Tamandua tetradactyla: one gene and its partner. The protein of the gene in region 2 interacts with the protein of the main gene of each other region in a pairwise test. Links are inferred from orthologs where the notes say so. Each region holds a gene or a part of one and is shown on either strand. Other genes may lie near its edges.

Region 1 (7,776 bases), on a different chromosome or scaffold from region 2:
TTTGACCAGTAGAGCTCCCTTTAATATTTCTTATAGGGCTGATTGACAGATTCTTTCAGCTTTTGTTTGTCTATGAAAATTTTAATCTCTCCCTCAGTTTTTTAATCTTTTTTTCACATGGGCAGGCACCAGGAATCGAACCCAACATGGCCAGTGAGAACTCTGCCTGCTGAGCCACCATGGGCCACACTATCCCTCAGTTTTGAAGGAAAATTTGGCTGGGTACAGAATTTTTGGCTGGAAGTCTTTCTCTTTTAGGATTTTAAATATATTATATCATTGCCTTCTTGCCTTCATGATGCAAGTTGAGTAGTCCGACCTAAGTCTTATGTGATTTCCCATGTTCGTAAAAGACAGTTTTACTTTTGTCATTTTCACATTTTCTGCTTCTCTTCAACATCTGACAGACTGATTAGCATGTGTCTTGGGGAAGGCCTATAGAGTTGGTTGGGCTTCTTTGATTTGCACATTTATATCTTTTATAAGGGTTGGGAAGTTTTCCCCATTATATCCTCAACCACTCTTCCTAACTCTTTACTCTTCTCTTCTCCTTTTGGGACATCGATGATTCTTATATTTGTTTGCTTTTTTTGTCCATCATTGCCCTGAAATCCAATTCACGTTTTTCCAAATTTTTGCCATTTGGTCTTTTGTGTGTTCAAGTTCAGTTGTCCTGGTCTCGAGTGTGCTTATTCTTTTCTCCTGCCTCTTCAAATCTGCTGTTGTGTGTCTCAAGTATATTTTTGATTTGGTCTAAAGCATCTTTAATCTCTGTGATATCTGCTGTTTTTCTGTTTATTTTTTCAAATTCATTTTTATGCTCTTCTGGTGTGTTCTTGATGTCCTTCATGTAATTAGCCATCCCACTTATTCTGTTTAATAGAGTTGTAAGAACAATTTGCTTAGTTGTTCCAGACTCTGTGTCTCCTCAAGTGTTTTACTTTGGCTCTTAGGCTGGGCTATGCCTCTTCTGCAGTGTGATATGCTTGCGATCTCCTATTATCTTTGCGGCATGTAAATATCTTGAGAGGGTTACTTTGAAAATTGCTTTCCTTCAGTAGACTAGAGCTTTGTGTTTGGAGATGGACAGGGCCCAGTGATGATTGTGAGAGGCTGCAGCCTGGATGCGCAGGTGACCGCCTGCAGGGGGCAGGGAAGGGAAGGTAGGGGTCCAGGGCCTGGGTACCGGTGGGGGGTCTCGGGAGGGGCGGGGCAACATTGCGCTTATGCGGGAGAGGTGGGTCGGCTGGGCCAGTCTGCGTGTGTGTGGAGCCGGGGCTGTGGGTGGGGGCGCGCTGGGGGGCGGCAGCACTCGGCAAGTTTGCTGGGGGTGGGAGGAGCTGTGGGTGGAGGCCGCACAGGAGGGTAGCATGCTCAAGGGTTGCGGCTTGGCTGACTTCCCGGCCCCGCCCCCGTCCGTGCATCCCTGAGAGCTGCGTGCCTTCTTCGGGAAACGGGCGGGCGCAGTGCTGCAGCCGCGCGGTCTCCGGGTCTCTGCATCTCAGCTCTTCAGCTCCTGCCACCAGGGCGGCCCCATGAGGTGTGGAAGGCCCTGCCGGGTCACCCCCACCCTGGAGTCGCCCTTCTGCCCTTCTCTGGCTGTTCCTCGGAGCGGGCTGAACTCAACCTCTCCGCTCCGCCCTCCTCCTGAAACTCTATATATTTGATTTTGGTCCTGTTTTCTGTTGAATTACTAGGTTCTCCTTATTTCTCCTGGCCCCCGTCTCTGGGCCTACTGTCCACCCTTCACGTCTGCCATCTCCCTCCCCCCCACTACACACATTGGCATGTTTTTAGCATTCTTGGGTCTGTACATATTTTAGAGAAATAGACAAATTTATGTGTGCATGTATTTTAGACTTGATGACTTTATTGTGCTATATATTCTGATTTTCTTACTTTTAAACCTGATGCCATGTCCTAAGGTGCCATGTTCTGTTCAGCTGCCATGCATACTTGGCTCCTGGACTCTTGTTGGGTTGGGTGGAGGAGGAGACAAGGAGGGTCTGGCAGTGGGGAGGGCAGTGGGGAGGGAGCCCGAGCTGCGCCCAGCACACCTGGGGAAGGGCTGCAGAGCTGTTGGAGCTCAGCTGGAGCGTGGCGGGCTCCTCACACAGCAGCCTAGGGTGGCTCGAATGCCAGCATTTGGCAGTTGGGGAAGGGGGCGTGGGGTGGGGGTTGGGGGCTATAAGTATTTTCAGGGGCAGGGGTGGCTCAGGGAGGAGGATGAGGAGGGAGGTGGGAGCGGATTTCTGTGGGAGGTGGAGGAGCCACATTCAGGGCTGCCGAGGGCGGGTGTGGCGGGAAAGCACCCCTGGCAAATGGACACACCCCAACAAACTCAGGGCAAGAGAGGGGCTGCAAGCCTCCAGCAGTGGGGGAGTGGGTGCGGGTCCCAGGCAGCCCCCAGGTGGCCTGGACGGACGGAGAGAGGCCAGCCAGCCGACATGGTGCTCTCGAGCACTGCGCTTTGCTGGGCACTTCTTGGCCGGGCCGTCTCAGAAGCCATCCCCTGGGCATGGGATGGGGCAGCAGGGAGGAGGGGTGGTCAAGGAGCAGCCCTGCTTTCCTGGAGGCCCAGTGGCCTGGCCTGGGACGCAGCCCTGGAGGAAGAGCGGCCGAAGCAGGGAAGAAGAAGGGTGGCTCTCCTCCCCAGCCTGTCCCTGCCGGGAGCCGCCTTGTCCCAGAGTGGCCCCTGCAGGCCAGTGCTCCCTGTGCAGACCCCAGGGACAGCCCTTCTCCTGGCTTCTCCTCCCCTTTCCCCTGCTCAGCACTTACCTGCTCTGCCTTTGGACGCCGGAACTTTCCATTTAGTGGGAGCTGATTTCTGTCCACGGTCACGGCCGACCGTGGCTAATGGGCACTAAAGGGCAGACTTCCGGCTCTTTCTCCAAAGCTGTAAATGCCAGAGACTCAGCTTCTGCTGCACAGAGATCTGCTCACCTGTGCATCCCAGTCGTGGCTTTGACATGAGTTTTCCACCCATACTATGATATATTAAAGATTTTTCTTTGAATACACACACACACACGAAAAAACAACCAAAATTAGGCATTGTCTGCATTAGCATGATTGCGCTTTTATTTTCCTGATGCATATCCAAAGAATTGTTCACCTATTAAAGAGTTCCATTTGGGCTTGGGCTGGTGCAGCTGTGGGCTTGTGGAGGCAGCGCTTGGGGGGAGCGCATTTCCCTTCTGACCCTCAGGGGTGGGGGCGGTGAGGCCGGGGCGGGGGCAGTGAGACCGAGCTGGGGGCCCAGGCGCCCCCAGAGCCCCATGCCCCTCAGCAACTGTGGGGACAGAGCACAGCAAAAGGTCTTTAAAGCAAGTAGAGGAATCCCATCATATTTAGTCCATCAAAGCAGCTTTATTGGGTTTGCTTGGATAAACATCATACATCATATTTTATAAAGTGAGGTAGTGTCAACAAAGCTTAAAGAAGTTAAAGACACATGAACTGCTGGCACGCAGATAGTACTGTGAACGTTTTGGTATTTTATCACCTAAATAGGTAAATACATTGCTTTCAAAAACGCGACCCGACCGAATATGCGATCCGTTTTCTTACTTGCTTGGCTTGGAGTGTCGCACCACTACCCTCTGCGCTTCCTTGTGGCCCCCTGGCCGTGGGAAGAGCCCCTCCCGTGCCCACGCACCGTAGCCAGCGCACCTTGAGGAAGGTCGGGGTGCCAGGCAGTGCTGCAGGGTCAGCCGTCTGCATGGGTACTGCTGTGTGGGCTGCCAGTCCCTGGCCCTGAGGGGGCAGGGTGGGCTCAGCAGTGTCCTGTCCCTGTCCTCATCCAACCCACATCATGCTCCCGTCTTGCCTGTGCTGGGGGCCCTCGATGCAGGGGCATGGAACAGGAAACTTCATGCTGGGAGGTTCCCCGCAGCCCCGAGGCCCCGGCCTGGGAGGACAGAGAGGGAGGACAGAAGGTGGAGAACAGATGGGGTAGGACAGAGGGAAGACAAAGGGGGTGGACAGAAGGGGAAGACAGAGGGGGAGGATAGATGGGGGAGGACAGAGGGGGGATATCAGGGGGGAGGTCAGAGGGGGGAGGACGGGGGGAGGACAGAGGGAGGACAGGGGGTGAAGGACAGAGGTGGAAGGAAGGACAGATGCGTGCCTCACACGCCCCCTGCTTGCCGCCCTAACCCTAACCCTAACCCTAACCCTAACCCTAACCCTAACCCTAAGCCTTCCTGGCCACCCCCACCCTCTGCCCTGTCCCGGGGCCACCTGGAAGCCTTTCCTGCTGTGGCCCTGTCTCCCTTCGCCCCTCCAGCCCCTGCCCCAGGTGCTCGCCCTGCCGGCCCCTCCTGCCCATCTGTGGCCTAGGGCTGCGTAGAGGGACTGGGAAGAGGCTGGAGGAAGCAGGTGGGCTGAGAGGGGGTCCTGGGCACCTGGAGAAGGGCAGCAGGTCAGCTGGGCATGTCCTTCCAGCCGTGGGGAGGTGGCCAGGTGCCTGTGGCTTTGAGTGGCGGGTGGGAGGCCCCTCCGTGGCCAGAGGTTCGGTGTCCCCCCCACCAGCGCTCTCGGCCATGGAGTGGGTGCCCAAGGGGCGGGCCCTGTGCACTCCAGCTGGACCTTCAGCCACGGGAGACTTGAAATGTGGTTTGCCAAAAGGGAGAGAGGAAAGTCACCAGCCTGGAACCTACCTCCGCCCTGGGTGCCTGTGCTGCGGTTGGGGGGGGGGGGGTCCCAGGGGGCAGGGGCTGGGGAAAGGGCCTGGAGGCCCTGGGCTGTGGCAGGAAGTATGAGGTGCCGCGCAGGAGCACGGTGGAGAGCGGAAGTCAGACCTCAAGCTGCCACGTTCGCGGGGAGACTGCGCAGGGGAGGCTGCTCCTGGGGAGCCATCGGGGGGCTCTGGAGGTGAGGAGGGTGTGCGGGCGGGAGCAGGGCATCCGGGGGTCTCTGGGGGCCTGGTGCACCTGCGGCGAGCCTGGCTTTGGACAGGACACCCCTGCTTCTCCCTTTTCGGCACCCTTCTCCTCCCATCGGCCCATCGGCCCTGCCCCCACTCCCTGCCCCCCGGAAGCCTGCAGCTAAGGGTGGGGGCCCAGAGAGCTCCTGGATCCCCTCTTGGGGGTCCCTGGGCTGTGAGCCAGACTGGGTGCGGCCCCTCGGAAGGGGGCTCCCCGCTGCCCCTTCCTTCCAGCCACCCGAGAAGCTCTTGGAGGCTGGGCTGTCCTCGCGCTTGCCCGGCAGCTTTGGCTTAGGCTCTTGTCTGGTGCAGGCGCCCTTTCCTCTGTGCCCCGCTGGTGACACAGTTGTCTCTGTTCTCTGCTTGGGGCAGCCCAGGACCAGGCTGCAAGCGCTGTGTAGGGTTCGAGCCTCATGACAGGACAGGCCCTGACATCGCTGGCCACAGTGACCCTGCAGCTAGGCTCCCACCTGCCCCCTCTTCCTGGGGCATTCGGGCTCCACGGGGCCTCTCCCTGGGCCGGACGCAGGCAGGAAGGAGGGGAGGGGGAGGTGGAAGAGGACCGAGGCCCAGGGCCCTGGCCTGGTTCGAGCCCCCACAGCCCAGGCTCTCTGCACATCTCTGGGTGGGCAGGACATGCAGCCGGGGGCAGGGCCTCTGTCGTGCTGCCACGCAGGGGGGCCCTGCCCCAGCCCCAGCCCCGGCAGGCGCCATTCTCTGATGGAAGGACGCATCTTCCTGCCTGAAGGGACAGGGAGAGCGACCCACACAGAGAACAGAGGGGGCCGGCGGGGAGGACTTGGGCAGCCCTTGGGGCTGTGCCCTGCTGCCTTGTGCGTGACCGATTCCTGTGTCCCTGGTTTGGTTGGTTTTGGCTTCTCTGGGCGGACCTACAAGGCCTGGCGCTCCCGCTGCACACAGACCTGCCGGCCGCAGCTCCGCTTCCTCCTTTTGCAGGGAGGGAGGCCCCTCGTGGCTGCTGGGCCGTGGGGCTGAGGCCCCTCGCGGCTGGGGGTCGCCCCTGCGAAGCAAGGGCGTGGGGTCCCGCGGCCCTTCAGAGTCCCAGGCGGCCGCCTCAAGTGCCCTCCGGCCCAGGCACCAGGCAGGCATCGTAGTGGGTCCAGCGCCCGCCCCTCCTCCTGTCCCTCGAGGCCTGAAAGAAGGTCCCAGCCCCGGCGGGGTGGAGGTCGGTGCCGCTGCCCACAGGAGCTGAGGCTGTGCCCTTGCATGTCTCCCCAGAAGTTCCCTGAAAGGTAGCCCACAATCTGCAAGACGGGGCGGGGGGCCCAGGCATCCATGTGGTGGAGTGGTACCCCCTGGCTGGGCTTCCCCCCTCTGCCCGGCTCCCCCCTCTGTCCTGCTGCCCCCGCCCCGTCCTCTGGAGCTCTAGGTCAGTGGCTTGGACCCCACTTCCCCCCAGCTTGTTCCTAAAGTGAGAGCCCCCTGGCTGCAGCGTTAGCAGAACCGCCCATGGGCCTGTCCCCCCAGCCTCCTTGCTCCGGGCAGCCCGAGACAGGCAGGCAGCTTCAGAAGGGATTTCAATACACATCAGGACATGAGGAAAAAAGAAGCCATGACCCAGGGGCCGAAGGCCAGGCTCCCCGAGACTGAGCACGCATCCCACCCCAGGCCGGTCCCAGTCCCCCGCCCTGTGCAGTGGGGGCTTGGCAGTCTCTGGGTGACTCCACCCCTCCGTGGAGTGGGGAGCAGTAAAAACAGAATTGAAACCCTCCTGCAAACAACGATTAAGCAACGACTAAGCAGAGTGTAAAGGAAGGGTAGGTCAGCGAGCCGCCCTGTCCCCAAACTCCTCCTCTTGAGGTGCCTGAGAGGGTCACGTGGATGGAGGGAGGGACGGGGGGTGGGGGGGAGGTGCTGGCTGTGGCCAGCGAGAGCCTCGGCTGGTCCCGCTGCCCACCGTAGTCCCCGCGGACGCCGCCTGCTGCCCCAGCCCCTCCCTCCTCCCCTCCCCTTGGGAACCCCACATTTCCCCGTCCCTGCCCTGGTCTCTGCCCTGCACCCCAGAGCTGCTCTCTTCTCCTCGGTCTCTGGGCAGCTGCTGCAGCGGCTCTGACTCTCCTCCACCTGAGGCAGGTGTGCAACACCTGGTTTCCTCTGGGAAGGCTCATCTGATACTCACCTGTGCCCAGCGCACTCAAAAACATCCCGCGCTGCGCGGCTTTATCTGCCCCTCGTGATTGCTTATAACGCATGTTTGCAGAGGGGAGGGGAGCTCCGTCTTACAGAAGGTGGTGGGGGCCCGATCTCCTCCCAACACCTCCAGCCTCCCCCCACTGCCACTCCCCTTTTTGGCCAAGGAACATTTCCTGTGAACCCAAGTAGGAAGGCTGATGTCATTCTTGCTCAGAAACGCCCTCCTAAGGATGGGTCCGTCAGAGGCAGTGTGCCGGGGGGCATGAGGGGTAAGGCATCCATTAGATGCACTGTGCCGGGAGGGCAGGCAGGGGGCTAGACAAGGAGGAGCGGTCACCGAGGGGTGCCAGCTCACACCAGTGGACCAGGCCTTGGGTGGGTCCCTGGAGAAGGCGGCTGAGTGGACCTGGGATGCCCTGTGCCCAGGCTCCATGCAGGGGCCTTCCCCACGTCCCCAGGTCTCCTGGTGGTCACACTCCCTGGTGTTTCTGGTCCCAGGGCTGCTCCTCGAAGAGGCTACAGGCCTCCCAGGTCTGTTCACACAGTTGTGTAAGCAGGGGAGTCACTCCTGCCACAAGCCACTCTGCAGCCCTGGGGCCGTAAGTCTTGGGTTGGGGGCCCATCTGTGTCCTGGGGCTTGGACAAGCCCTCAGGGAACAGGGGTCTGGAGCCAGGAAGGCTGCATGGCTTCAGCC
Region 2 (7,904 bases):
AGCTAATGTTACCTAACCATAAGTAGACTTGGTTTTAGAGCCCAGGTATGTAGAGCTCCAAGGTCAAACAGTTGCTGTTTAGATGTGTATGTGTGTGCACGTGCATTGGGGACGGAAAGCTGTGTGTGGGCTGTCACTGTGGTATTGGGGAGGAGGCCAACTAGACCCTTTAGCCAAAGGTGAAGGGACCAGGAGAGTCAGGGAGGCAATCTGGCTGGATGTTTCTGGGAGAGGAAGCAGCATGGGAAGGGGTTGAGGGAGGGGTTCAGAGGCAACTGATTGGGGCTACCAGGTCTGCGGGCCTCAGAGGGCAGGAGAGTCCCTGTGGATCAGGGGAAAGGCCAGAGCTGAGTAAGCGGGCAGCTCCAGGGCTCCCAACTCACTGGGTGGCCCAGGTTCTCTCTGTCTCCCTGGTAGGAGCTCGCAAACTTGCGCCTGAGGGAGGGTGACGGGGCAGCCCTGTCCTGCCAGGGTGGGGGATGGGAGGCCCTGGGGCAAGGCTGGACTACCCACAGCTCAGACCGGCCAGGCTGATTCCATTCCCTAGAAAGCTCCCTTCCCTGGGGACCAGCCAAGAACAATGATAACCACCCCACCCGTTTCATCTGTACTGTTCATCTAATTAGGAAACAACAAACATGGCACAGATGTGTCAGGCCTAATTCTGAACACATTACAAATATTAACTCATTTACTCCTCACAACAACTCCATGAAGTATAATCTCCACTTTACGCAGGTGGAAACAGAGGCCCATGGAAATTAAACGACGCACCTAAGGTCACGACATGAAGAAGTCAGGGGGCCGAAGTCCCAGGCTCCAGCATCCTCGGGGTTAGCCGCTGGGCTTTGCTGGTTTCCGCCGGTAACCCATTTTACAGATGAAAAGCAGGCCCAGCAAGCCGAAGGGACTGGCTAGGGAATGTAAGGGGGATAGGCCACCTGAGGAAGCCAGGGCCCTGATCCCATGTAGGGCTTTTGTCTCGATCCCACTGCAAGCCCCAAATATGACTGGAGAGAGGCCAACAGCCCTCCCGGCTCTCTTGCACCCACTATCCCACTGGGGTTCCACGCAGGCCCCGTGAGGAAGAAACAGTAAGACTGTGGTTCTGTCTCCATTTTCCTAGGGACAAAGGCCAGTAATTCCCATAGATAGTTTCCCAGTCCCCCAACTTTTATTATTTTCTAATTTCTGATTATTAAAAGATACATGATCACTGCAGAAATTTTTCCAAAGACAGATCGTCAGATAAGAAAATACAATTACAAAAACCCAACTAACCAACCAAAAATCAGGAAAAGAATAATCACCTTAAATCCCCTCTTTTTTTTAAATATTTTTATTGACAAATCTTCACACACACACAGTTCATACATGGTGTATAATCAGTGGCTCACAATATCATCACATAGTTGTGAATTCAACACCATGATCATTTTGAGAACATTTGCATCACTCCAGAAAAATAAATAAAAAGACAAAGGAAAAAACTCACACATCTTATACCCCTTACCCCTCCCTCTCATCACCACTAGTATTTCCATCTATGCAATTTTTTTACCCTTTATACCTACCACCCCCATTATTTCTTTTTTATCCTTTTTTTTTTTTTGCTCATCTGTCCATAGCCTGGATAAAAGGAGCATCAGACAGAAGGTTTTCATAATCACATGGTCACATTGTAAAAGCTATATAGTTATACAATTGTCTTCAAGAATTAAGGCTACTGGAACACAGCTCAAAAGTTTCAGGTACTTCCCTCTAGCCACTCCAATACACCGTAAACTAAAAGGGATGCCTATATAATAAATAAGAATAACCTCCAAGATAACCTCTTGACTCTGTTTGAAATCTCTTAGCCACTGAAACTTCATTTTGTCTCATTTCTCTCTTCCCCCTTTTGGTCAAGAAGGTTTTCTGAATCTTTTCATGCTGGGTATCATCTCATCCCAGGAATTCTGTCCCACATTGCCAGGGAGATTTATACCCCTCAGTCATGTCCCATGTAGTGGGGAGGGCAGTGAGTTCACCTGCTGCGTTGGCCTAGAAAGGCCACATCTGAGCAACAAAAGAAGTTCTCTGGGGGTGACTCTTAGGCATAATTATAAGTAGGCTTAGCTTATCCTTTGCAGGAATAAATTTCATAGGGGTGAACCCTAAGATCGAGGGCTTAGCCTATTAAATTAGTTGTCCCCACTGCTTGTGAGAATATCGAGAATTCCCCAAATGGAATTTTCCTCCTTTCTCCCCAGTCTCCCAAGGGGTCTTTGCAAATACTTTTTTTATTCTCTGCCCACATTATTCTGGGGTATATCAGGGCATCACCCTAACCTGTACAAACCAACAAGGTCTCACGCCATATTCAAGATTTCATGTAATTATGGTGTTCAAATTAACTGACCATACAAATTAAATTAGATAATGTGCTACCCACAATATAGATTTTGCACCAAATAAACATCCCTTCTTTTGATCTCACACAGAAGGTGACATTTTAAAACATGGACCATATCACCCTTTACCCTGTATTCTGATTTCCCGTAGTCCAGATCAGCTTCATTCACATCTCTAGTTGAAGTCTGATCACTTTTTCAACTTTTTAAACAGTTGCTGTATGGGTAATGCTGACTTTCATAGCTTCAGTCTCTAATTCAGAGTCTCAGGTGTCACATAAATACCCGAAGTTTCAAGGAATGACCACGTTAAAACCCCTACTTGAATACTAACATATTCTCAAGATTTCTTTGGTCTCCCCCGTTTTCAAAAGCATCTGGGCAGGGAGGCAGGAGACAGCCTCTCGTCCTGGCTTGCTGTGCGACCTTGGGCAAGTCACTGCCCCTCTCTGGGCTTGAGGCTTCTCATCTGTGAAATGAGGAATTGGATACTGTAACCTCAAAGGAGGCCCTTCATGCCTCTGACCTTCTGTTTCTGCTTCTGTTTCTGGGATTGGCAGGAGGGGCACAGGCAGGCTGCCCCTCTGCAGGGGATGCATGGCTGACAGCTCCCAGCAAGCTGCCTCCAAGAGATGTGAAGGGCACAGAAACAGCTTTTGCTGCACGCATGGCGTTCCCAGGCCTGACTGCTTACCAGGCCCATATGGTGCCCCCTGCCAGGTGGACACCACCCCCTGCCCTTCTCCAGCCAGCGTGAATGATTGTTCTTCCTTCAGGTTCCAGAATGTGCTCTGCTTCTCCAAGACTCACTGGCTTGATGTGAGAGAGCCAGTGGTGTTAGCCCTCAGGGTCTACCTACCCGTTGCCACAGCCCTTCTGTGGGAAGAGGCAGCCTGGTGTGGTGAAAAGCTGGAAGGAGGGAGGAGGGAAAAAAAACAAACACTGACTGTGTCCAACTCCCTTTGGACCCTACGGGATTCAGAAATGAATAGAAAAGCTTGCCCTTGAAGGATACAACTTTGGTGGGAGCGAGAAGAGTAGAAACAGGGAGTAGCAATACTTGCCATTCCAAAAGCAGGCCTGTGGAGCCCACAGGAAACTTAACCCCTGGGTGGGAGCGAAGGAAGGCTTCCTGGAAGAGGCAATTTTAAAGGTACGTTATTCAACCTCTCCAACTCACTTTATTTCATCCTCACAGACACCTCTGAGGAATGGGTACTGTTGCCCCTGAGGGGGTTTGCCCAAAAGGAAGAGAGCTGGATTCAAGCTCCCAACATTCCACTCTGGTCTACTGCCCTTGGTCTGAGTATGATGTGGCCTCTGATGTGCAGGAGACCCTCAGTGAGTGCTTCACTCCTGAGCCTTGGGCTCCTATTCTATAAAATGGGTTTATTCCTGGCTTCAATATCCAGTTCAGCACTGTTGTTGGAGCAAAGGACAGAATGGCTGAAAAAGCACTCTTTTTATAAACAGGGGAGTGACCATGTCAGTGAGGCCTCCTGACCCAGGTGGGGCTGGCCGAGTAGTTTCTCTTCCCCATCACAGAAACCCGGGTCCTGGTTTCTGAGCCTGGAGCAAGCAGAGGCTGGATGGAGTGAGGGTTCGCGTGCCCCTGCTCTCTGTTTGGCTGGCCTTGCTGAGACACCCTGCCTAGAAAAAGCCAGGTCAAAGGTCCGGACAGATACACTCTCCTTTCGCTCCTTTGACACAGGCCAACAGGCAGACTCAGAATTTCTAAGAGTAAGAATTCTAGAATCCTGGAGTTAGAACACCTGCGTTTGAGGAGTCCTAGGATGGAGACTCCTTGGTCCCTCGAGTACCTGCAGGAAGGGGGCAGAATCTGGGTCAATAGTATGCAGCAGGCCAGCCACTTTATAGATAAGAACGAGACCCAAAGAAGGAACTGCCTGAAGTCACACAGCGAGTCAGTATCAGAGGTATGCTTTCCCCCATACCTCACAGCATAATGTACCAGGCCATGCCACCTCCTGAGGCTAGCTGGGGGAGAAAGCTGGACAGAGGCAGTCCAGAGTGCCAGGGGGCAGCCTGCCTGCTATGTGGGTGAGTAAAGTGCTCACGTGGTTTTGCTAAAGCAAACTTTCACACTCTAGTCCCATACCTACAAAGCGCCAAAACCCCCACCCTCTCCTTCTAAGCTTTCCACTGCTTTGTGCATCCCCTGTCCCCTGGCCCTTTTCCTTCTCTGGCTCTCAGTCTTCCTATCTGTAAAATGATCTCCCAGAACCATTCTTTAGGACTGGCTAGGAAATCCTAGGGGCAGTCAGTCTCGCGGCGGGGCTGGCGGCTCTCGGACCTGCCAACTCCTACAGGTCGGGGAGGAAGGGAATTGCGGAGAAGGAAACATGAGTTGTCTTGAGCTTTCGGCTCGCTATTTTAGGGGCGCCGCCCTTTGTCTACGCAAGGACTGGGAGCGCGCCCCACCCAGAGGGCATGGGCGGGGCGGGCCGTCCGGGGCGGGGCCTGGCCGGCTTTTCGCCCCGCCCCGTCGGACGCCGCGGCGGAGCTGGCGCGGGGAGGGGAGGAGCGCGCGCGCCGCGCGGCCCTGGCGGAAAGTTTTTCCTGAAGGAGTTTTGGCGGCTGCTGGGCTGCGGCGGCCGGAGCGGGCCATGGACGCGCTCAAGTCCGCCGGGCGGGCGCTGATCCGGAGCCCCAGCCTCGCCAAGCAGAGCTGGGGGGCCGGCGGCCGGCACCGAAGTGAGTGTGCGCGCGTCCCCCGGGGCCCGGGCCGGGGTCGGGCCGAGGCCGACAGGGACCCCCGCGGCGCCCGGAGTTCGGCGCAGCGGGGGGAGAGGCAGGGCCTGCAGTGCACCCTGCGGGGCGCGCGCGGCTAGGAGCAGCCCTGCCCCGGCCCTGCCGGGTCGGAGGGTCGCCCGGGGTCAAGTCCCCCCAACCCCTCCCCCCCAGGCTCTGTGCAGCCTAGGAGGAGGGACAGCCGCAGGGGGGAGAGACCGAAGCTCGGGGTCCCCAGGTGTAGGCGGCAGTGGGAAGGGGTCGCAGGTCAGCAGGAGACCGGCGCGCGGCACCTCTCCCACCTTTCGGCCCCCACCCCTCGCCGCCCTGAGCAGCTGGGAGGAGGCAGGAGCGCGGCGTCGTGTCCTGGGGAGGGGGAGTGGGCCCAGGGCCGAGTTTATGGACGGGGCCACGGGGACCAGGGCGTCTTCCCAAGCCGCGTGCCCAGGGGTCGCTGCGGGCTGGCCCCCGCCCCTGCGGAGCGCTCGGCGGCTGGATCCCACTTGTCCCTCCCCCCAACCCGGTCCAACCCGCTGGTTCATCTCTTGACACCCCGGCGCCCAGAGACCCATCCAGGTGTGAGCCTGTGAACCCAGGTACCTGCTTGAGATTGGGGACGAGGTCCGGCCTGGGGGTGGGGAGGAGGGTTTCCTTACAAACTGTCGTTAAGACCTCTGCGTCCCCTCACCTAACCGGGTCGAGGTAGCAAGCTGGCGACTTAGTTATTTTTGAAACCTGTTTCCTTTCCCTTCTTTCTCCTCGGTGGCTAACGAAGTCCCGGAGGCGCCCAGGCGAATGGCAGACTCACTCGCAGTTACCTTCTCCCTGGGGTGTCTGGGAGGCAGGGAGGGCCTCATCAGGGCCCTAACTTCTCTCCCCCGCCTTCTGCAGTTACTCTGGTCACCTGGCACTTTTCCCTGATGCCTGAGAAACCCCGCCCAATTCCCTCTTTTTTTTTTTCACCAGTGGAAACAGAGGCCCAGAGAGGCAGAGCGCTTACTTGGACTCACACAGCCCTTCCTGGCGAATGTGGAGCCAAACCTAGGAATCCTCTACGCTTCCCCCCCTGCCCTCCCCCCCCACCATGCTGCCGACCCACCTGAGCCCAGGCCTCTCCCCATCAGGAAGAGCCACCAGTACCACGTTTCCCTGTCCCCGCCTCCTCCCCCTCCACGCCATTCCCTCTTTGCTTTCCAGATCACTGCCAGGAGCGCCAGCGTGTCTGGGCCTAGGGCGCCTGCCCTGCCCTGCCCTGCCCTGCCCCCCACCCCCTTGCCCAGCTCTGCTGTTGCAGCTCTGGCTGCCTCTGGAATGGAGACTGGCATGGGGAATGTGGGCTGCTGCTGGGGGGACTGAGGTCAGGGACCCATAAGAGCCTGGCAGGCCAGGGAGGGTCACCTCTCACTCTTCATGGCTTCCAAAGTAGCCCTTTAGATGTTTGTGGAATTCCACCAGGGGTAGGGGTCACCCACAGCTTCTGAGAATGAGGGTCTGTTCCAGTGGGGACCCTGTGCTTCTCTACTGGGATACGGGTGGGTGGAGCAGCCCCCAGGGAGCTGGCTGTGAAGGAAGGGTGTGTGGGGGGGGGGGGCCTGGGCAAGGGAGGGGAGCTTAGGGGCACCTTTGCTGGAGAGGGGAGAAGGGAGCCACCTTGGGTGGGAGTAGAGTTTCCCTGTCAGCTGCCACCTTGGGTGCATTCCTTGTCCCTTCTGAGTCTCAGTTTCCTCATCTGCATTATGGGGTGGGGATGTTGAGAAGATGTGGATGGTAATGCTCCCTCTTGGCCTGATGGGTGGTTTCTTTCTCTCCCACTCTTCCCCTGGCCTGTCCCCAGCCCCTTCCATCTGATTCCTGTGGTGGAACAGGTTTTGGGGGCTCAGGGCCTGTCTGCATTTGCAGAGAACTGGAGAGGAGGGCATCCCTCCGAAAGCCCAGACGGCCCTGGAGCCTTCTTTACTTAGACTCATCTGGCTTCAGAGCCCCACCCTGACCCTCCTTATTAAGCCTCCATTTCCTCATCTGAAAATTACAAATAGCCACAGTCCCCACCTCCTATTTCTTCTGTGGGGATTACATCAAATTGTGTTTTGCCTGGTACAGAGGAAGAGTTCAATAAGTGGTAGCTATTGTTTTTGTCATTTAATACTTAACCATGTGTTTTTGCTTCCATGATCTCTTTTGCTCCTGTGAGGTGACAGAGCAGGGGATTCTTATCATCAGACCCATTTTAGAGTTAAAGGGACTGAGGCTCAGGGAGGTGGAGTCACTGGCTCTGGACTCAGCCCCCCCAGCCTAGGGGTCTTACTGTGCCATATGGACCCGGTGGCCATGGGAGGAGCTGGCAGCAGGCCTGAGGCAACGGTGGGCACAGGGTGGAGAGGAAGGCTGTGGTGGGGGCGGGCTGGGGACGGCAGCTTGCCTGGGGTTATGGGCCAGCCCTGGAAGCTCTGCGCTCCCAGGCTAAGAGTGGTGGTGCCAAGTGGAAGCCAGTGAACAGTGTTAGACCTGACCCCTGTGACTGGCTTCTCATCCCTCCAGGTCCCCAAAGCTGGGATTCGTAGCTCATTGTTTTATTCATGGAGAGACTGAAACCCAGAGAAAGAAGGCAGCTTGCCCAAGGCCACACGGCAACGCCAGCACCCCAGGCCTTGCATGAACTTCACAGCTTCCTGTCTTCCACTTAGTCCTGACCTCGAAGAAGAACTGGCTCCCTCTCCCACACATGGCTTTTTAACCCCATCTCTTCAACAGCCATAAATA

The links. The genes of interacting proteins can lie anywhere in the genome.
Region 1: the proteins of LDLRAP1 (region 2) and PSD4 interact in binary tests that used the Homo sapiens proteins (3 or more experiments, as listed by UniProt). The two-hybrid records come from large-scale screens. The link is inferred for Tamandua tetradactyla from reciprocal best matches to the Homo sapiens genes LDLRAP1 and PSD4.

What each region holds. Positions count from the first base shown.
Region 1 is NC_135343.1:138,348-146,123, reverse strand, and holds the start of PSD4 (PH and SEC7 domain-containing protein 4), read left to right. Parts: upstream 1-4,770; 5' UTR 4,771-4,875; intron 4,876-7,776. UniProt on the Homo sapiens protein: Guanine nucleotide exchange factor for ARF6 and ARL14/ARF7. Through ARL14 activation, controls the movement of MHC class II-containing vesicles along the actin cytoskeleton in dendritic cells. Involved in membrane recycling.
Region 2 is NC_135328.1:200,650,354-200,658,257, reverse strand, and holds the start of LDLRAP1 (low density lipoprotein receptor adapter protein 1), read left to right. Parts: upstream 1-4,904; 5' UTR 4,905-5,020; coding exon 5,021-5,108; intron 5,109-7,904. UniProt on the Homo sapiens protein: Adapter protein (clathrin-associated sorting protein (CLASP)) required for efficient endocytosis of the LDL receptor (LDLR) in polarized cells such as hepatocytes and lymphocytes, but not in non-polarized cells (fibroblasts).